Saccharomyces cerevisiae S288C: one gene and its partners. Changing the gene in region 4 together with the main gene of any one other region gives a genetic interaction. Each region holds a gene or a part of one and is shown on either strand. Other genes may lie near its edges.

The links.
Region 1: mutations in ALT2 (region 4) and YML003W together harm fitness more than expected from each alone (negative genetic interaction), as found in Saccharomyces cerevisiae (one large-scale study listed by BioGRID).
Region 2: mutations in ALT2 (region 4) and YBR298C-A together harm fitness more than expected from each alone (negative genetic interaction), as found in Saccharomyces cerevisiae (one large-scale study listed by BioGRID).
Region 3: mutations in ALT2 (region 4) and URK1 together harm fitness less than expected from each alone (positive genetic interaction), as found in Saccharomyces cerevisiae (one large-scale study listed by BioGRID).

What each region holds. Positions count from the first base shown.
Region 1 is NC_001145.3:261,697-265,164, forward strand, and holds YML003W (uncharacterized protein), read left to right. Parts: upstream 1-1,786; coding exon 1,787-2,659; downstream 2,660-3,468. Other genes in the region: lactoylglutathione lyase GLO1, read right to left, coding at 9-989; VRL1 (Vrl1p), read left to right, coding at 2,845-3,468.
Region 2 is NC_001134.8:801,435-809,391, reverse strand, and holds YBR298C-A (uncharacterized protein), read left to right. Parts: upstream 1-4,135; coding exon 4,136-4,357; downstream 4,358-7,957. Other genes in the region: seripauperin PAU24, read right to left, coding at 1-335; alpha-glucosidase MAL32, read right to left, coding at 2,287-4,041; MAL31 (maltose permease), read left to right, coding at 4,917-6,761; transcription factor MAL33, read right to left, coding at 7,463-7,957.
Region 3 is NC_001146.8:644,946-650,556, reverse strand, and holds URK1 (uridine kinase URK1), read right to left. Parts: upstream 3,126-5,611; coding exon 1,620-3,125; downstream 1-1,619. Other genes in the region: PHO91 (Pho91p), read left to right, coding at 1-1,529; DEAH-box RNA-dependent ATPase PRP2, read left to right, coding at 3,607-5,611. UniProt on the Saccharomyces cerevisiae protein: Catalyzes the conversion of uridine into UMP and cytidine into CMP in the pyrimidine salvage pathway.
Region 4 is NC_001136.10:675,781-681,776, reverse strand, and holds ALT2 (alanine transaminase ALT2), read left to right. Parts: upstream 1-2,012; coding exon 2,013-3,536; downstream 3,537-5,996. Other genes in the region: PDS1 (securin), read left to right, coding at 160-1,281; replication fork barrier binding protein FOB1, read right to left, coding at 3,975-5,675. UniProt on the Saccharomyces cerevisiae protein: Inactive alanine aminotransferase. Forms a catalytically active Schiff base with PLP, but lacks alanine transaminase activity, probably due to an altered structural conformation of the dimeric enzyme.

The DNA of each region.
Region 1 (3,468 bases), on a different chromosome or scaffold from region 4:
TCAACTTTTTAGGCAATCAAACCATGAGGAACGACTTCAATGGAATAACCATCAGGATCCTTCAAAAAGGCAATATTCTTCATTCTGCCTTGGTTAAATTTAGGAGACCATTGGATCTTATCGCCGTATTTCACTTCAATTTCTTTACAAAGGGCGCCAGCGTCATCACAACTTATGCAGATGTGACCATAACCCTGGGGCTCTGAGTTACCGTTATGATAGTGGAAGTTTGGATCATTCTCAGTTCCCCAATTATGAGTTAACTCCAACACACTTTCACATGAAAAAACGCTGTCGGTCTTTGGAACGCCATAACCAAGAAAGTATAACGTAAATTTTGCACTTTCGTGCTCACTAGTTCTTAATAATTTCATGCCCAACACATTCTGGTAGAATTCTAAAGACCGGGTTGGGTTTTTAATACGAATCATGGTATGATTGAACTTGTTACCTACTGAGCCCTTTGGGTATTCCTGACCCTCTCTAGAATATGTGATCAACTCAATCCAGTATCCATCAGGGCCTAAAGCAAACGCAATGTCCTTCTGTCTTCCTTCAGAGAGTCTCTTCTTGAATTTGACACCCTGAGATTCTAGCTCTTCGCAGGTTTTATTGATATCGGATACAGAAAAACAGATGTGCCCAAATCCACGATGAGGTTCCTCATTCCCGTTGTTGATCTTGTAGTCTGGGTTTTTTTCAGTACCCCAATTGTGAGTTAGTTCTAAGACACCGTGTGCGCTAAAAACATCAGGCTCTCCATTCTTATTTTTGGGTATGTCGTCTTTTGGAAAGCTTAAAAAGTACAAGCTAAATTTTGCTTCTTCAAAATCCTTTCTGCTTAATAGCTTCATACCGAAGTGTTCGGTGTAGAACTTAACGGTCCTTGCTGGATCCTTGACTCTTAAACATGTGTGATTAAGCAGAAGGGTTGGATCATTCGAGGCTTTCTCAATCTGAATTGGATAGCGTGTACTATCAGTGGACATTGTTAGTTTGTAGCTGGTGGCGTATCTGGTCTGAAGTGTCAAAAAAAAGGCATGGAAATGTTATTCCGATTTTTTTTCTCCCTATTTATAAACGTCACTAACTAGAAATACGGGATATCAACTACTACGAGAGAGGGACATTCTAGTATCAAAGAAACTTACTATGACGCAGTTTAGGATCCCTGTGGTGACTACGTATCCAGGTCTACTACTCCATCGTAAAGCCCCTTGTTTATTCAGTGTCCAGATCATATGCGGGATGTGTATTTTGTGCTGAGTGGAAAAATAAGATCATATGCTCAAGAATAAAGGGTTAAAGGGTATGGAAATTTCAGTTCTCCCTGGCTCAAGAACATTGTCAGTATTCCTATAACTGAAGCTGAGTGGTACTAATGCACCGAGATGCAAAGTCCGAACCACCCCCACCCCCCTCTTTACCTATTTTTTATATTTTGTGATAAAGGGATAACTCGTCTTGCCTTCACTGCGCTTCGATTCTACTTTAGCTAAACTAAGCGTTACTTTGTTTGAGAATCTCTCAGCCGTTAAATCAACGTACTTGTATACTAAACAGTATATTCACGTGATAACTTTGCCTTACACCTATGATATAGATAAATATATACATATATATGAGTGTGTGTGCATTGCGTCACTAAACTATGTTTAATATGACAGAAGGTTTTCGTTTAATTTTGCCGCTACCCGAAAATTTTGGCAGTTGCAATTTATAACTAAAGGAACCACCTTATTGTAAATTCCTCAACGGAAAAGCTATGGCTTAGCTAGGGTTGACAATGTCAGTTTACCATTTACCAACGCTGTTGAACCCGCTGGTTAATGCTATATTTAACTGTCCCGAACCAGAAAGATCCCCATTGAAAAAGCTTTTCGCTAATTTAAAAACCCGTAGGTTTATCCTCCTAGCACCTCCTTCAGAATACCTTTTGAATTACCACGATGTCAAGAGCAAACTGCCGTTACATGACCTCTGTTATAATGCAGAGTTTATTAACTCTTACATATTGTTAATGACTGAAAACTCTTACATAAATACGAATTCAAGGGACAGTCATTATGAAACGTTAGATGGTAAGACCGTTGTTATTCAATGGAAGAATAATGTGATCCATGCCTTAAATGGATTTCATATAAGGCGAAGACTAAAGATTCTAGAGACAAAAATATTACCCAATTTTAATGACTACTTTGAAGGGGCGGCTGATTTTATCATACTATTCATAGATCAACCTTTAAATTGCGAATTTGTACCTAACGACTACTTACAGTGTTTTCACAATTATGAGAAAATACCAAAAAATGCACATGCTATGCCAAATCTGTCGATAGATTCTTTTCAGCAAGAAAGATCGTCATTCGAGAATATATTGCACATTCATCCTGCTCGATTAACACAGCTTGGCCAATTGTTTTCGAGTTACAGAACGCTCGCTCCTGGTGATGATCCATCTAGAAGTATTTTTGAAAGCATCGTGCAACAAGCATTTGATGGAATGAAATCGGATTCACTTTTCAAGAACTTTTCTAATCTTTACGATCTTATACACGACTATTTTGAACTAAATCTTTACGATGATATATGGTCTAGGCTTACTACACATTTCAAAGGCCACGAAGTAGACACTGAAAAAATAAATATTTTTCAGTGAACCAGTTGTTGACAGATTTTTACTCAAAAGATTATGGGGAATTTAAATTACACGACATCACTCTTATTGAAAGGCGTCTCCATCTAGCGTCCAAACATCTTCAAAAGTTGGCTTTGACCCATTCATACGCTGAAAAATCTAAAATATTAGTTGAAACTCTACAGAAATTATCAGGTACTACCGAAATGGATTCACATCAACTAGAACTACCAGACGGATTGAATAACATGACGATGGATGCAGACACTTTAATTAGCCTTTTTGTGCTCGTTGTTTGCAGAAGTGAACAAAAGCACCTTAAAAGTCATCTTTACTATTTGCAAAATTTTTCGAATAACTCTTCTTCTACAAAATTCGGCATTCTAGGGTATGCTGTATCCACACTGGAAGCAGTGGTTTGTTATTTCGAAGACTTCAACAAAAATACAGGCAACGTGGCGAAAGCTAACACATTATGTGAAAAAACTAAGAATTTATTAGATAAGTTGTCATGTGAAAACCCCACAAATGAAGTAGAAGATCTGGCAACATACAAGGATATTTTGACCTACAGAAATGAGCAAGGACAATCCATTCTATCCATATGTATAACAAATCATAAAAACTACATCTTATTAGATATTCTTTCTGAATATGAAAACGACTTTCCAGTAGAAGACCTTTTAGAGGACGAAACGATTGATGGTTCTACGCTGCTTATAGAATCGATAAAAGCAGGAAATTTAGAAGCCGCGAAAGTTCTCATAAAGATCATGCTGTTCAATTGTACTGAAGAGGAGCTGGTTTCTTATATCAATAAAACAGATAAA
Region 2 (7,957 bases), on a different chromosome or scaffold from region 4:
TTGGATAGAGCACTAGAGATGGCTGGCTTTAATCTGCTGGAGTACCATGGGACACCGGTGATCATTCTGGTCACTTGGTCTGGGGCAATACCGGTCAACATGGTGGTGAAGTCACCGTAGTTGAAAACGGCTTCAGCGATTTCAACTGGGTAGGTTTCAGTTGGATGAGCGACTTGGAAAGAGTAGTATTGGGCCAAGTGAGCTCTGATATCAGAGACGTAGACACCCAATTCAACCAAGTTGACTCTTTCGTCAGATTGAGCTAGAGTGGTGGTTGCGGAAGCAGTAGCAGCGATGGCGGCAACACCAGCAGCGATTGAAGTTAGTTTGACCATTGTATTTGTTTTGTTTTTTAGTGCTGATGTAAGCTTAACAAGAAATAGTGAAATGAAAGCGCATACCTCAAAGATGGATAGCTACAGCAGCTCTATTTATATGAATGTCTTGCCAACTTCCCTGGCACAAACGAGTTATCATCTGGCACCCATCTCTCACCTAAAATGCCTCAGTGTACAATTTTCATCCCACATTCATTATTCATATTATTACGGTGCTTCTGTACTTGAACGATGCGTCTTTCATAGGTCCCGTATACGAGGCGCACGCTTCATAGTGCCTATACCTTTTATTGCATTTCCAAGGCACAAGAATGTTTTCTCACAGTGTACATACTTCCGAAGAATCCCTTTAGGGTGCCTTCAGAGATGCAGCTGCAGCTTTTGGCCAAGAAAAAGCCAAAACCAAATTTGCTTTGAACCCTCGTTAAGAGGCCACCTAATCTTTGTGCTCTAAACGGTTGCTACGGGAAAATTGTCGATTCTGTTTTTCTTAAAATAGAAAGTGAAAGACTTATCGAATACCGGAGTCGTATATTGTAGGTGCCTACAGTCTTATACACTGCCAGCAAAAATGTTGACAAGAATAAATGAGCATTCGAGGTGCTACGAAGCCCTAGTTCTGAAACAGCGGAACTTCCACTGGATCAAGCTGGCCATACCGGAAACTATACCGGAAATTGATAAATCAACATCTTAATAAGTATTATATAATTTTTTTTGTAATACTAATAATCGGAGAACAGCACCAGCGCTTCGTATGTTAGGCAACGGTTGCCGCCTAGGTCTACGTTTCTCTATTCATTATATGGTAAGTGAAGGAGACAAAAAGTGGCGGCTTACATACAGAACTTCTATCCTATGGATGTACCTGCAGTCTTTCTGTTTGGATGAAATTGATAGAGGGCTTAGTGTTACTAATACAGAAAGCCTTTAAGCCTTTTTCTCCCTTTTATTCACCGTTTCAATATGTCTATCATTCTGGTCATGTGTTTTTCTTCCAGGAATTTACAATTATTACAGCGATAAGTAATCATACGTATCCAGATTATAGGCCCGTTGCTGAAGAATAACTACACTTCTCTGATATATAGTTATAGCTCAATAACTAATGGCATAGGGGACACAGATTTTCGTAGTCAAATTTCTCAAAGGATAAGAGCGTCATTCCACCTCTTCTCTTCACTTCGTTGGCTTTTATATATTGATTGTGGGGTGTTAATGTTGTAGAGTTACCGAAGTAGCAAGATTCTTATGCGCTTATTTTCTTTTGCTTAATCACACTGTCTAAAGCATATGGATTATGGACAGATGATTGGTTTAGTTCATCTGAAGGCTAGACAATAAAAGGCGGGTTCGGAAGGGGGTAGGCATGCTCAGACTTGACGTAAACGCATAAGCCGGCAATGTTGAATCGATTTTGTAACTCGCCTGAGTGTTACATGAGATTACATATAGGATCGAACCATCACGAAATCAATTACGCTGTGTTATTGAATCATAAAATCACAGAGCTTCCCGAGAAAACGCTAAATTATGTGTCAAGTACTGTGGGCATCTCTTAACGCTATCTTATATTCATTTCACTTTTTATATCTAGTCCTTTTCTTTTCTTTATTAAATAAAACTACCACCTTGTATGATTCTTAGCAAGACATTCCAGCATTAATACCAGCACAGGTTTCTTCTCCCTTGTTTTCATCCGAAGAGAAAGGATAGTGCTTCTTATGCTTCATTAATAATTTGGAATTCACATTTATATACACGCTAAATATCATAATGAACGAGGATCATGTAGAAAAACACATTTACCCATAATGGTGAAACAAATTATCAACAGTGCTTTTACGTTATCATCATTTACATATAAAAAATTTATCTAACAAAAATCATGTGAAAAATCATCTGTTATTTCGTTAAAGTACGCGCTAAAAAAAAGTCGGCACTAATTTTATTTGACGAGGTAGATTCTACCTTCCCATGGTTTCAAAACTCTGGAGGAAACGTCAGTATCATCATAATTTCCAAGAATAAAAGATAAAGAAGCACCTTCTCTTGGGAGGCTGAATTCAATTTCTTCGCCACTGAAATTCAAAGCAGCAAACAGCGTCTTGTCTTCGTACTCTTTAGTGAAGCTAAAGATCTGGTCACTGTCTAAATCAATGAATTGGAAATCGTAACCATAAATCATAAGTTCCTTATATTTCTTTCTGGCTTGCAAGGCCCTTTTCCAAAAATTGAGAACTGAGTCATCATCTCTGGATTCCTGCTCAACATTGATTCCTTGCTCAAAAGATTCATTCAAGAAAAACCAAGGTTTAACATCTGGGCCAGTAAATCCAGCATTGGGCTTATCTTTCGTCCATGGCATGGGAGTTCTCGAATGATCTCTAGAAAGTAGGGCGATTCCTTTAAAAAAATCCTTCATTTCCTTCGAGTTTTTACCAAAACTTTTTTTGATAATCTCGTAGTTGTTTTTCACATCAACGTCCTCATACTTTTCAATAGGCCATTCCTTGAAATTGATCTGGCCTATCTCCTGACCTTGATAGACATACAACGTACCTGTCAATGAACATTCTAGCAATGTTAACAGCTTACCAGATATTTTACGGTACTTTGGCGAATCGTCAGCAAATCTCGTAATTGACCGGGCTTGATCGTGATTCTCGATGTAGGTGGTAGCCCAACTATCAGTACCGTTAATGAACAAAAAGTTCGATGCAATGGCTTCTTTCCATTGTTTCAAGGTGAAGGGCACTATGTTATAACGGAAAAATGGCGAGGTACCAAGTTCAACGTGCGTGAAGGAGAAAACTTCGCTGACTTCGTATCTAGCTGCACTGGTGTATAAAGCATTATCACTTCCATGGGCAACTTCACCGACTGTCATTATTTCTCTACCATCTTTCACCCTGTTTTTCATAAATCTGTGTAGTTCTTGATGATATTCATGAATCCTAGGACCATTGTGAGACCCCCAATTTGGATGTTGTAATTTCGAGGTTTTGTCAAAAATTGGGGAATCTGGTAAACCAGGACGTTTCGAATACAAACCAGCGGTATCGATTCTAAAACCATCTACACCATGGTCCAGCCAAAATCCAACAGCACTTTCAAAGATTGCCCTTCTGCAGTCTTCATTCTCCCAATTCAAGTCAACTTGACGACTCGCAAACAAACGGAGGTAAAATTCATTTGTAGTTTCATCAAAAGTCCAAGCTGAACCACCAAAGAAAGATTTCCAATTGTTTGGAGGAATTGGCTTGCCTTCGGCGTCATAACCTTTAGGAGGTCTCCAGAAGAACCAGTCACGCTTCGGATTGGTCTTCGAGGATCTGCTCTCTTTGAACCATTCGTGTTCTGTAGAACAGTGGTTGATAACCAAATCGGTGATGAATTTCATACCCAGCTTATGAGTCTTGTCAATTAGCTCAAAACAGTCCTCGTTGGTACCGTATGTGGGCCAGACCTTTTCGTAGTTAGATATATCATACCCCATATCTTGTTGAGGAGAGTCATAAAACGGACAAACCCAAATAGCATCAACGCCAAGATCTTTAATATACTGCAACTTGGAAGTGATACCTTTTAAATCACCCCAGCCATCGTTATTGGAGTCTTTAAAACTTGCTGGGTAAATTTGATAGATTGTGGCCTCTTTCCACCACTTTGGTTCTGTTTCTGGATGATCAGAAATAGTCATTTATGTATTTTAGTTACGCTTGACTGATGTACATTTGAGATTATCAAAAAAACTGCTTAAGAGATAGATGGTTTAATTTTTTAGAGACGTATTAATGGAACTTTTTATACCTTGCCCAGAGCGCCTCAAGAAAATGATGCTGAAAGAAGAATTGAGGAAGGAACTACTCATCTTACGTTGTTTGTATCATCCCACGATCCAAATCATGTTACCTACGTTAGGTACGCTAGGAACTGAAAAAAGAAAAGAAAAGTATGCGTTATCACTCTTCGAGCCAATTCTTAATTGTGTGGGGTCCGCGAAAACTTCCGGATAAATCCTGTAAACTTAAACTTAAACCCCGTGTTTAGCGAAATTTTCAACGAAGCGCGCAATAAGGAGAAATATTATATAAAAGCGAGAGTTTAAGCGAGGTTGCAAGAATCTCTACGGTACAGATGCAACTTACTATAGCCAAGGTCTATTCGTATTGGTATCCAAGCAGTGAAGCTACTCAGGGGAAAACATATTTTCAGAGATCAAAGTTATGTCAGTCTCTTTTTCATGTGTAACTTAACGTTTGTGCAGGTATCATACCGGCCTCCACATAATTTTTGTGGGGAAGACGTTGTTGTAGCAGTCTCCTTATACTCTCCAACAGGTGTTTAAAGACTTCTTCAGGCCTCATAGTCTACATCTGGAGACAACATTAGATAGAAGTTTCCACAGAGGCAGCTTTCAATATACTTTCGGCTGTGTACATTTCATCCTGAGTGAGCGCATATTGCATAAGTACTCAGTATATAAAGAGACACAATATACTCCATACTTGTTGTGAGTGGTTTTAGCGTATTCAGTATAACAATAAGAATTACATCCAAGACTATTAATTAACTATGAAGGGATTATCCTCATTAATAAACAGAAAAAAAGACAGGAACGACTCACACTTAGATGAGATCGAGAATGGCGTGAACGCTACCGAATTCAACTCGATAGAGATGGAGGAGCAAGGTAAGAAAAGTGATTTTGATCTTTCCCATCTTGAGTACGGTCCAGGTTCACTAATACCAAACGATAATAATGAAGAAGTCCCCGACCTTCTCGATGAAGCTATGCAGGACGCCAAAGAGGCAGATGAAAGTGAGAGGGGAATGCCACTCATGACAGCTTTGAAGACATATCCAAAAGCTGCTGCTTGGTCACTATTAGTTTCCACAACATTGATTCAAGAGGGTTATGACACAGCCATTCTAGGAGCTTTCTATGCCCTGCCTGTTTTTCAAAAAAAATATGGTTCTTTGAATAGCAATACAGGAGATTATGAAATTTCAGTTTCCTGGCAAATCGGTCTATGTCTATGCTACATGGCAGGTGAGATTGTCGGTTTGCAAATGACTGGGCCTTCTGTAGATTACATGGGCAACCGTTACACTCTGATCATGGCGTTGTTCTTTTTAGCGGCTTTCATTTTCATTCTGTATTTTTGCAAGAGTTTGGGTATGATTGCCGTGGGACAGGCATTGTGTGGTATGCCATGGGGTTGTTTCCAATGTTTGACCGTTTCTTATGCTTCTGAAATTTGTCCTTTGGCCCTAAGATACTATTTGACGACTTATTCTAATTTATGTTGGGCGTTCGGTCAACTTTTCGCTGCTGGTATTATGAAAAATTCCCAGAACAAATATGCCAACTCAGAACTAGGATATAAGCTACCTTTTGCTTTGCAGTGGATCTGGCCCCTTCCTTTGGCGGTAGGTATTTTTTTTGCACCAGAGTCTCCATGGTGGCTGGTTAAAAAAGGAAGGATTGATCAAGCGAGGAGATCACTTGAAAGAACATTAAGTGGTAAAGGACCCGAGAAAGAATTACTAGTGAGTATGGAACTCGATAAAATCAAAACTACTATAGAAAAGGAGCAGAAAATGTCTGATGAAGGAACTTACTGGGATTGTGTGAAAGATGGTATTAACAGGAGAAGAACGAGAATAGCTTGTTTATGTTGGATCGGTCAATGCTCCTGTGGTGCATCATTAATTGGTTATTCAACTTACTTTTATGAAAAAGCTGGTGTTAGCACTGATACGGCTTTTACTTTCAGTATTATCCAATATTGTCTTGGTATTGCTGCAACGTTTATATCCTGGTGGGCTTCAAAATATTGTGGCAGATTTGACCTTTATGCTTTTGGGCTGGCTTTTCAGGCTATTATGTTCTTCATTATCGGTGGTTTAGGATGTTCAGACACTCATGGCGCTAAAATGGGTAGTGGTGCTCTTCTAATGGTTGTCGCGTTCTTTTACAACCTCGGTATTGCACCTGTTGTTTTTTGCTTAGTGTCTGAAATACCGTCTTCAAGGCTAAGAACCAAAACAATTATTTTGGCTCGTAATGCTTACAATGTGATCCAAGTTGTAGTTACAGTTTTGATCATGTACCAATTGAACTCAGAGAAATGGAATTGGGGTGCTAAATCAGGCTTTTTCTGGGGAGGATTTTGTCTGGCCACTTTAGCTTGGGCTGTTGTCGATTTACCAGAAACCGCTGGCAGGACTTTTATTGAGATAAATGAATTGTTTAGACTTGGTGTTCCAGCAAGAAAGTTCAAGTCGACTAAAGTCGACCCTTTTGCAGCTGCCAAAGCAGCAGCTGCAGAAATTAATGTTAAAGATCCGAAGGAAGATTTGGAAACTTCTGTGGTAGATGAAGGGCGAAACACCTCATCTGTTGTGAACAAATGATTTTTTTAGCCAGTAGGTAGATACGGCGTTATTTAATTTTATTTTATATAACTAGTACTTAACACATCGAGTTTATTTTTACTCGACATTATGACTTTTTTTTGGTTTTGTTGCGGCTTTGAAGTTTTTTCAACTAGAGGTTATTATTTTGTTCTGAAAAAACGTTAATGATTTAAATGAATCATTGTGATGAGGGTCCTAGATTTAAATATCTTGCAAAAAGAAGTACTAATATACAATTTTTTCATTCCCGTTAATGAAAATGCTTGAATTTTTATATTGTATATTGATACACTCTATTCATGTTCCGGCAACAATTATTTTTTTTTTAATTCTGTAAATTTACTTTTTGACGTATTCTTTCAGCATTTCTGTGCTTATGTTAGAATTCAAGAGAGTATTCCCTATTCCTGGTAACGTAAATTCGCTTTGTAAATCAACGATACATGATTCTCATATCCCAACAAAAATGCCACAAAATTTATATTAGTAAGCTGCCCGCTTAAGTATATACTTAATGTAACTGTATATAGAATTATCATGACCATCAGAACTAAATATTACAAACAAGTAAGGCAGGAGTAGAATAATCTCGCCTGAAGAACATAGCTTCTTACACCCTCGAAAAGCAAGACTTAAGAATATCACTCACACTCTATCAGTATATCTATCTCGTATAAGTGAACGGCGTGAACAATAAATTAAGGAATTATGTCGTCTTCATCTTTGGAATCATCATTTAGGCGCAGTGGTCTAGAGATAGGCAAATCGATTAGAGCACTCTGACATTTAGTTGAAAACCTTTGAAACATTTTATGATTGCAATGTTTCAGGGAGAAAACGAACTTGGATACATCGCACAAAATATTCCAAGCCTCCAACTTCATATTGTGATCATACTTATTTACGATATCTACCAATGCATTGGCTACTTCCAATGATTTCATTGGTATTCCAGGACCATGTACATCATACAGGTTGTTTGGAGTTAAGAATATGTCGTCCAGCATATCCTTTGCAATTTCGACCAATATGTGAGCATTATTGGCGTTTGAGAAAAACTTGGTACCATTCATCTGAAACACTAGCTTCCAAGCCAGCGCCCTAATCCAATGTCGAGAAAATGAAATGTCCACATAGCCATAAGACCATGGTTCTATTTCAAGGGATGCTGTGTGAAGCTCTTTCCATATTTT
Region 3 (5,611 bases), on a different chromosome or scaffold from region 4:
CTGAATCCATGGCAATGTCGAGTGGTGGCGCCGGTATCATCGCTCCATCAACGGATTCCCTAACTTTCCGTGAACTCATGCATTTACCACCCAAGCAATGGTTGCAATTTATCATGGGCCAAACTTCCCTGCTGAAGTTTCTGTTAATCACCTCATGTTTCATTGCATTATTAACTTTTAATTTGACTCCTTTTACGCAGGATTCCTTACAGAAAAACTGTTTCGCCATCTTAATATATGCATCTTTATTATGGGCCACTGAGACCATCCCCCTTTTCGTGACTTCTCTAATGATTCCTCTGCTTATTGTAGTGTTCCCTGTTATCAAGGACCCTATCACCTCCCAACCAATGTCTCCCCGTGATTCCTCTCAGTTCATCTTATCAACGATGTGGTCGAGTGTCATCATGCTTTTGCTGGGTGGGTTTACTTTAGCAGCCGCCCTTTCCAAGTACAACATTGCCAAAGTCCTTTCTACGCATATTTTGGCATCCGCCGGTACAAACCCACATTTTATTCTTTTAACAAATATGTTTGTGGCGCTCTTTGTTTCCATGTGGGTTTCTAATGTTGCTGCCCCCGTTCTTTGCTATTCAATTGTTCAACCTTTGCTCAGAACACTGCCAAGAAATTGTTCCTATGCCAAAGCTCTAATTCTTGGTATCGCTCTTGCCTCCAATATCGGTGGTATGTCTTCTCCCATCGCTTCTCCTCAAAACATTTTTTCTATTGGTATAATGGACCCTTCACCATCTTGGGCTGAATGGTTTATGATTGCGCTACCTGTGTGCTTTATTTGTGTCATGGCAATTTGGGTGCTATTGATCATAACCTTCCCTCCTGAGCCAAATGTGAAAATTTTGCAATTGCATCCATCCCGTGATCCATTCACTCTGAAGCAATGGTTTGTCACTTTAGTTTGCATTATAACAATTGTTCTTTGGTGTCTTTCAAACCAAATCTCCGGTATCTTTGGTGAAATGGGAATCATATCTATTATACCTATAGTAGTCTTCTTCGGTACAGGTCTTCTAACTTCGGATGATTTCAATAATTTCATGTGGACAATCGTTGTTTTGGCCATGGGAGGTACCACCCTAGGTAAGGCGGTAAGCTCATCCGGTTTATTGTCTACAATGGCACAGTTAATTAAGGCGCAGGTTGAGCATGAACCAATCTTCATTATTGTGTTGATCTTCGGTCTAGTGATTCTTGTAATGGCCACTTTTGTCTCCCATACCGTCGCGGCAATGATCATCGTACCATTAATGAGTGAGATCGGTTCCAATCTACCTTCAGGTGATCATTCTAGACTATTGATCGTTATAGCCGCCCTATTATGCTCTAGTGCTATGGGTCTTCCAACCTCTGGTTTCCCCAACGTGACTGCCATTTCAATGATTGATGAAGTTGGTGATAGATATTTGACCGTGGGTACATTTATTACGAGAGGTGTACCAGCCAGTTTGTTAAGTTATGCCGCTATTGTTACAGTAGGTTATGGCATATTGAAAGTAATGGGATTTTAAGATTATCCATAGAGAGAATGAAAGGTTACTAATATAGTATGTATACGTGCACTATTATTTAATTTTACTTTATATTGCCTCTAATTATTCTCAATCACAACCAAAATACTTTGAATCAAAAAATCTGGTCAATGCCCATTTGTATTGATGATTTTGTAACTTTTCTCTGGAGATGATCATACCAGCAAAAATGTTGACTTTGTTATCAAATGCATTTAATATACGTCGGATACCAACTTCAGTGGCCAAATAAACCACCACGCTAATCTTTTCCAAATCAATACCATGATCTAAAAGCACCTGGATGGCCATGATCATGGCCGCACCACTTATGATTTGACCTTCCATTAAGAAAACCTTGCCAAACTTTTCTATATTTGGGGGTAAAAATTCGCAATGCAGTTGAGGTTCCCCAGTTTGTGAATCGGACTGAATCAACAATTTACCAATTGTGATATTGGGGATCGTCTTTCTCAAAGACTTCATAAAACAATCGCCAGATCGAATAATATTAACAGCTGTAACTTGATCGAATTGACAGGCAATAACGTTTTCCATGGTATGCTCACCAGGTGTAATTATGTTCGTATGTGCTACAGGAATGTCATCAAGTGCCCATGATAACAAAATTGTTGCTAACCTGTCAAAGTAGAAAACAAAGTCCGCGCAATTTAGATTTTTATTTAGAAGCATAGTATGCAGCGAAAGAACTTGGTTGGTGGGCGGCAATTCATGAATTATGTTACGATTAAGCACATCTTGTGAAGGAGAAGAGCCCAATTTGATTAGCTCTCTTAAGTGTTCATTTGATTTTAGTTCCAGTTTTGACTTGATGTGGTTAATGATTAAATTTACCGCTGTAGCATTATCACTCATCGATGGAATGATAGCATCTGCATTCTTCATTGTTGGTTTCACAAACTTTACCGCATTTGGTTTCACAAATTTCTCCCATTGTTGAATACAACCATCCAAATCTCTCCCTCTGGAAACTATATCTCTCGACAATCTTCTTGCTAAGCAGACATCCAAATCAGCGTCAACATAAATTTTCAAGTCCATCAAATCCAGCAATCGGCGATCGTAAAGGGCGTAGATCCCTTCGATAACTACCACACTGGCCCCGTATATGACTATATTTTTATCAGGAACTCTATTGTGGTGGACGAAGCTATAAACTGGGATATTTGTCCTTTTGCCCTCCTTTAAGTTCAAAATGCACTTATATGCCAAATCTAAGTTGATGGCATTTGGCTCGTCGAAATCGTATTCATTTTTAAAGGCTCTGGCTCTGTCCTCTGGGCCTAATGGATTGTAAAAGTTATCCAAAGATATTAATACTGTCCAGGGAACATTAATTGACGACACAATCTTAGCAGCAACGCTTGTCTTGCCTGAACCTGAAGCACCACCTATACCTATTATATATGGAGTTGTCCATGGTGGGATATACCGAGAGCTTTTTCCTTTTGTTTTTTTGACATCTACTTCACCATCCATGACTGCATTAGCTTTCAATGTGTCTCTTGTTTCATCGTCTAAAATTGAAATAAATGATGAAGATCGTTCTTTGGAAGGTGCTATACGATGGGACATAATAAATAAAATAAATGCGAGTTCGAAATTAAACGTATGAAATTATCGAAGATGTCGCATATAAATAGTAAATAAGACGTTATCCAAGGCCTACAGCCTTACGAAAAAAAAAAAAAATCACATCTCTTATCTTATCGATCTAAATTTTTCAGTTTCCTTTTTTCATCTCGAAGCTCATCGCATGAAAAAAAAACTTCGATATGTGAGCGTATTAAGACAATAGAGGAAATAGTGAGAACAAGTGGGAAAATTAAAGACTAATCATCGAAAATATGCAAGAATTCTTTAAGTGCTCGTATCTCAAATGTAGCCAAAACAGTACTAGCCCATACAACCTGATGACGAGAACGTGCTGAAAGTGGAAGACAGTTAGTTACCCGGACAATTAAAAAGTGATATTAATCAATTGTATAAGTAATAACGGATAGCTGCTATATGTTTAATTGGCATCTATATAGATAACAAGCGTGTATAGCAACACATGTCAAGTATTACATCTGAAACCGGTAAGCGAAGAGTGAAACGAACGTATGAAGTTACAAGACAGAATGACAATGCAGTAAGAATAGAGCCTTCTTCCTTGGGTGAGGAAGAAGACAAAGAGGCCAAGGATAAGAACTCTGCCTTGCAGCTAAAACGATCACGCTATGACCCCAATAAAGTTTTTTCTAATACGAACCAAGGTCCAGAAAAGAACAATTTAAAAGGAGAACAACTTGGATCACAAAAAAAGTCATCAAAGTATGATGAAAAAATAACGTCAAATAATGAACTTACTACAAAGAAGGGTCTACTAGGTGACTCCGAGAATGAAACTAAGTACGCCTCTTCTAATTCTAAATTTAACGTAGAAGTTACTCATAAAATAAAGAATGCAAAAGAAATTGACAAAATAAACAGACAACGCATGTGGGAAGAACAACAATTGCGAAATGCTATGGCGGGGCAAAGCGATCACCCTGATGATATAACATTGGAAGGCTCTGACAAGTACGATTATGTGTTCGACACAGATGCAATGATTGATTATACTAATGAGGAGGACGATTTACTACCTGAAGAGAAACTTCAATATGAGGCACGTCTAGCACAAGCTTTAGAAACTGAGGAAAAGCGTATACTGACTATACAAGAGGCAAGAAAACTTTTGCCTGTACATCAATACAAGGATGAGCTACTACAAGAGATCAAAAAAAATCAAGTTTTGATTATAATGGGTGAAACCGGTTCTGGTAAAACCACACAGTTACCCCAATATTTGGTAGAAGATGGATTCACTGATCAGGGAAAGTTACAGATTGCCATAACACAACCACGTCGTGTGGCGGCCACTTCTGTTGCTGCAAGAGTAGCAGATGAAATGAATGTTGTGCTTGGGAAGGAAGTGGGTTATCAGATCCGTTTTGAAGACAAAACAACCCCAAATAAAACGGTTCTAAAGTATATGACGGATGGTATGTTACTAAGAGAATTTCTTACAGATTCCAAATTAAGCAAATATTCTTGTATTATGATTGATGAAGCTCATGAACGTACTCTAGCCACAGATATCCTGATAGGTTTGCTGAAAGATATTTTGCCGCAGAGGCCCACTTTAAAATTGCTTATATCATCAGCAACAATGAACGCAAAAAAATTTTCAGAGTTTTTTGATAATTGTCCCATTTTCAACGTTCCTGGGAGAAGATATCCTGTAGATATCCACTACACATTACAGCCGGAGGCAAACTATATACATGCCGCTATAACAACTATTTTTCAAATTCATACTACGCAAAGTTTACCGGGGGATATATTGGTGTTTTTAACGGGGCAAGAAGAAATTGAAAGAACAAAAACCAAACTGGAGGAGATCATGTCTAAATTAGGTTCTAGAACAAAACAAATGATTATAACTCCTATATACGCAAATTTACCCCAAGAGCAGCAATTGAAAATTTTCCAGCCGACTCCGGAAAATTGTAGGAAAGTTGTTTTGGCAACTAATATTGCGGAAACTTCATTGACCATTGATGGTATTAGATATGTCATTGATCCTGGATTTGTTAAGGAAAATTCGTACGTACCCTCCACTGGAATGACCCAACTTTTAACAGTTCCATGCTCAAGAGCTTCAGTTGATCAGCGTGCCGGTAGGGCTGGTCGTGTTGGGCCGGGAAAATGTTTTAGAATTTTTACCAAATGGTCATATTTGCACGAGTTGGAACTTATGCCTAAGCCTGAGATCACAAGAACAAATCTTTCTAATACGGTGTTATTATTATTATCGCTTGGCGTTACTGACCTAATAAAGTTTCCCCTGATGGATAAGCCCAGTATCCCCACATTACGGAAGTCTTTGGAAAATTTATACATTTTAGGTGCCTTAAATAGCAAAGGGACAATCACTCGGTTAGGTAAAATGATGTGCGAGTTTCCTTGTGAACCTGAATTTGCAAAAGTGCTTTATACAGCTGCTACGCACGAACAATGTCAAGGTGTACTAG
Region 4 (5,996 bases):
GTCAAAAAGAAAAACAAACAAAATAAACAAACAAAATAAATGCAGCTTTAAATCAATATTCGGCGAAGGCAAGTAACGGTTGCTAGCGGTTTTTCCCATTCACATACTATTACACTTCTGCGGTACCAAGCTAGATTAAGTGCTAGATAATAAACCTTTATGATGCCAGCTAACGAAGATAAAGAGAATAATATCGTATATACAGGGAATGAAAGTTCCGGCATTAACTTTCCACAGACGCCGGCTCACTTGCTGAAAAGGTCGCACTCTAATATTTTAAAACCACCTGTAAGATTGGACCAACTCAAAAGGGATGCGAACAGCAACAATGGCAACACATTAAAGTACATACAAGGAGGGAAGGAGGTGTCACCCACAAAAAGGTTGCATACCCATGCGCAACAACAAGGAAGATTGCCTCTGGCAGCAAAAGACAACAATAGATCGAAAAGCTTTATTTTTCCCGAAACTTCTAATCAGAGTAAAGATGCAGACTTACCACAACTACAGAATACACTATCTATACGCAAAAACGACCAACTCAGGAAACTTTCGCAAATTTCTCGCAGTCGTAGTAGGGCCAACCATAATGATTTGTTAAGCAATTCAAGAAAGTTACAAAAGTACGGTTCTGTCCTTGGTTATAATGCTTTACCTAAAATGAAAAGTCTAGTTTTAAAAGATCTTGCAGATTCAGGTAAAAATGAAGAGAGTTCCGACGATGATGAAGGTAATGAAGATTCCGAGAGTAAACTTGGCAAAAAACTCCAAAGTGCACTTTTAAAACAGGATTCCTCCGACGGTGAAAATGAATTAAATGGTGGCCTAGGACTATTTAATGAGCAAGGTGGTCTGCAACAACTCATAAAGAACTCCACGAAGAATGAGCAAAAAACTAAAAACGATAAAAGTGATAAAACTGATGACTATGATATCGAAATAGCACCACAGAGGCAGGAGCCGTTACCGTATGTACCAGAAGGCTATTCCCCATTTCAACAAGATGATATTGAAAAGCTGAAGACGTTCAACTCACCATATAAGCTTGACTTGGAAGACGAAGATGACACCCCAGATAAAGTTGATTTACTCCCACTAGAACAAATTGATGAAGAAGGCGAAAAAGATGAGACTGAGTGCATCACTCGGAATCAAGAAGAAGGTGCAGCGTTACCACTGCTGTCTAAGAACTTCAAAGAAGTTGCCGCCGTCCCAACCATGGAGTTAGTGTACAGCGAAGAAGGCCTCGATCCTGAAGAACTAGAGGACTTAGTTACTTAGATCCACTGCTCATTCACATACACACAACATATATACACGTATATACAGATACTTTATAACATACAATTCTGGTTAAAAGCGGTTGCTCCTGCCGCCGGGATTTAATCTGCGGCCTCACCCATACCTCAACTACCGCCATTGTTCGTACGTTTTAAATGGCTTCGCTTCACCCTTGATTGGCAAAGGGTCCAAGAGGGATCACATCACGATACTATTGTTTCTACTAATGTGCTGCGGGCTGATGTCCTCCACACGTCTTCAATTGCTTCTCTTTATGGGTTCTCAAAGTACTTCGTCATAATTACTTCATTATACCTAAGAAAATAATTTCATTTTTTTTCTGAATTTTTTAGCAGAAAAAAAAAAAGTTCAAGTTTGGCCTCATTCGCAATATTTTCTCCATGGAAACGGCTTGTATCTTGAGGCTTCTCCTACTTGTTTGGCGATTTTATTTTATTTTTCCTACTCTTATGGTCCCATATGTACATCTACATATCTCTTCAAATTACCAATACACTTTTAGGATAGCTAAATTTACTACTTCGTGTGGGAACTATATTCTGTTCACTTTTCTTTTTGATCCTTTCTTGACTGACATCATCCTTTTCTCATTCAGTAAATACCCCAATATTTCCTCATATCTCTAGAGGCATAAAAGATAAGAATAAAGGGAAGGAGCGCCACAGTAGTGTTGTTTTTGTAAGTGGTAAACACAGAAGAAGTAAGAACACATGACAATGACACACCAACAGGATTTGAAAGGTGTGTTCACCGCAAAGGATTTGGATTTTAAGCCCGCTGGCAAGATTACTAAAAAAGATTTGAATACAGGTGTCACTAAGGCAGAATATGCTGTAAGAGGAGCTATTCCAACCAGAGCTGACGAGCTAAAAGAGGAATTGAAAAAAAACCCAGAAGTTTTGCCTTTCGATGATATTATCAATGCGAACATTGGTAATCCGCAGCAACTGGATCAGAAGCCTTTGACCTTTACCAGGCAAGTACTGGCCATCCTGGAGTACCCGGAAATTTTACGAGTAGGCCATAATGAACTGGCTTCTTTGAACTTGTTTTCCAGGGACGCCTTGGAAAGAGCTGAGCGCCTCTTGAATGATATTGGCGGTTCTATAGGGGCATATTCGCATTCTCAAGGTGTGCCAGGAATAAGGCAAACAGTTGCTGACTTCATTACTAGAAGAGACGGCGGTGAGCCCGCTACACCGGAAGATATTTATTTAACCACTGGCGCTTCGTCCGCGGCAACTTCTTTGTTATCTTTATTGTGTAAAGATTCTCAAACAGGCCTGCTGATTCCAATTCCGCAGTATCCGCTTTATACTGCATCCGCATCTCTTTTCAATGCACAAGTGCTGCCATACTACTTAGATGAGGAGTCAAATTGGTCTACAAACAGCGACGAAATTGAAAAAGTAGTGCAAGATGCTTTGAAAAAACAGATCAGACCATCTGTGCTGATAGTTATTAATCCAGGTAACCCAACCGGTGCAGTTCTTTCTGAAGAAACCATTGCCAGGATCTGTTTGATCGCTGCGAAATACGGCATTACAATCATTTCTGATGAGGTCTATCAAGAAAACATTTTCAACGATGTTAAATTTCATTCGATGAAGAAAGTCCTAAGAAAATTGCAGCATCTTTATCCAGGAAAATTCGATAACGTTCAGCTCGCCTCTTTACACTCCATTTCTAAAGGATTCATGGATGAGTGCGGCCAAAGAGGCGGTTACATGGAAATTATTGGGTTTTCTCAAGAAATAAGAGATGCTCTTTTCAAACTCATGTCTATATCCATATGTTCTGTTGTCACAGGACAAGCTGTGGTTGATTTAATGGTCAAACCACCCCAGCCTGGAGACGAGTCCTATGAACAAGATCATGACGAAAGGCTGAAAATTTTTCATGAAATGCGTACGAGAGCAAACTTATTGTACGAGACGTTTAAGGAACTAGAGGGTATCGAATGCCAAAAACCTCAGGGTGCAATGTATCTTTTCCCTAGGCTTGTTTTACCTAAGAAAGCTCTTTGTGAAAGCGAACGCCTTGGCATCGAACCTGATGAGTTCTATTGCACATCTTTGCTAGAATCTACAGGTATTTGTACTGTCCCAGGGTCTGGGTTCGGACAAAGACCCGGGACTTATCATGTGCGAACAACGTTTTTGGCTCCAGGGACTAAATGGATTCAAGACTGGAAAGAATTTCATCAAGATTTCTTCAGCAAGTATCGTAATTGAATGAAAAAAAAAAACTAATGATAATGGCTTTCTATTTGTTTTGCATCCATGGTGGGGGTGAAGTTTAAATTTGTAATAGTATACATGCATCATTCTTTACTAAGGGAAATAAGGAAAAGTATATATCTGCCTCTTGTAATATTGTTCAAGGAAATAAATTTTGGAGCATTCCTCTGCATCTATTGTTCAATTAAAAAAAAAAAAAAAAAAAAAAAAAAAAAAAAAAAGTAATTATTCATATAAAACCACCTTGCGGGCAAGATCATATTATCCAAGTTGATACTTATTTAAAAATATAAAAATTTTTTAACCGCGTACATTAAATACAGGGTCATATACAGGAAGAGCTTTCAACACCTTTTTGAATACTTTATATGCAATAGGTGCTTTTTTTTTTCACCTATGGTGACTCCTCCTTTCATTCTATCCTACATATTATTACAATTCCATTGATGTGCCAAAGTCTCTTGTTTGATCTCCATTACCCTGTTGGTCTAATTTCTGTCGTTTTGTTGACGGCGATTCCAGAGTTTGATAGTAGGAAGTTTCTGGTCTAGTTATTTCGACACTTTGATCTACTTGTGATGCACCGTCACTTTCTTTTTGATCCCCTTTTTCAGGCTCTTCTGTTCCCTGCATTGGGGCTGCCACGCCGGTGGACTCTATTCGGTCCTCATCGACATTATGAGGAGGCTTTTCTTCGGGAGTTAAGGTATTAGGTTCAAATTCGCCCTCTGAAGAATCATGTGCCAAATCATCATACTCATCGATATAGTTTTTTTCAGTTAGATCAAATTGTTTTTGCACTTCTTCTTCAAAGTTATCATTTCCTATATTGTTATTATGAAGAATTCCATTATTGTTACAGCTATTATCCGCTTCATTAGCAAGGGCAAAAGTATTGACATCTTCCAAATATATAAGACCTTTTCCACCTGCCATCTTGAACATATTACGGGAATATGTGTTTTCTATAACCCTTTCTCTCTTAGTCTCAAACTTGGCATTGTGACCTGGAACTTCACTAAGTAGTACTTGCACAGGTTTACGTTTCGTTCTCTTATTTCTCCTTCGGTTGAATCTGTAAGGGCCATATCTTAGGCACTTACCCCAATCGGCTAGACATTCCTTCTTATAACTATTTAGAGCATACTGAATGCACAGTATACCCCCAGTATGAAATCTCGCAGAACTCTTCAAACCCAAGCCAATACGGAGACCGTATTTTGATGCAATTTCTTCACAAATATCATAAAGATCATCTTTATCTAAAGTGCTTGATGTTACGAAAATTGGAACCCTAGCAAATGTTAAAAAAAGTGAGGAAACAACTGGGATAAGATGTTTGAATTTGGTACTCTTAAGTGGTAATAACCACATAAAACTAGAGCGATAGTCTCGGCATAAAAGGACATAAGAATATTTTCCCTCAATAGCTTCTCCATTGAAGGGTTCGAATACCTCAATATGTATCCTTTCCATTGGTAGTAGTTTATCGTACATGTCAGGACGTTTATATTCCTTCAATGGTTTAATTTTGCCCTTTTTATTACATTTTGAACAAAATTGCTGGACCCAATCGATGATGGCATGACTAATATTGGCAAAATGAGAAAATAAAAAGGAATGTAATGTTTTACCCCTAAGATGCTTATTCATCAAGTGTGTTGCCATCACCATGTCGTATACATGCTTTGGCTCACAGTATATTTTATCATTATTTCGGCCATCTCTAACATTTCCTTCATCATCAACATAATACTGTCTTTGCAAAAATAACAGCTTGTTTTCTGCCACTACACCATCGTATTTATCACTTATTTGTTGCAAGGTATCTGCAGTTAAAGATTTTGTTTTTATTAGTTCATATATTTTCTGCGTTAGTTGTCTTGTCAGAGATTCAAGAAAGATTGGTGTTTCTCTTTCTCCCCTTTCCAATAATTCTAAGTTCAAATAAGAGTCTACGTACTCAGTATATGATTCCCCCATAGAGGGAAGTATCAGTAGACGATCTTTTGAGGACTCTCTTGATTCCCCAGGTGACGTTGCCTTTCTTCTCTGCGATTTCCTCGTAACTGATTCTGATGGTACCGAGTCATCATCATCAAACAACACGTCATTGTAACGCGGTTTCGTCATTGTTATCCTCAGCACAAATTCACACTCACACAATCGTTAAATTGTTCTCCCCCCTGAAGGCTTAATTCAATGTCGTTAAAATGAATACATGCGATGAGGAATCACCTCGCAATTTTTTTTTCTTTTCAATATATCGCGAAAAAGAAAAAATATCAGTATTATCATGTAAATAATTATGGCTGACACCTCATATTGAATGTGGGGGTAAAGATACTCTGGGTTTCTTGTTTTGATATATATAAGCTCTTCCTGGAAACCTCGATCACAATGTTAGGTATGATGAAGAAATTGAACCTTTATAACACCCGTTTGACTAAATGC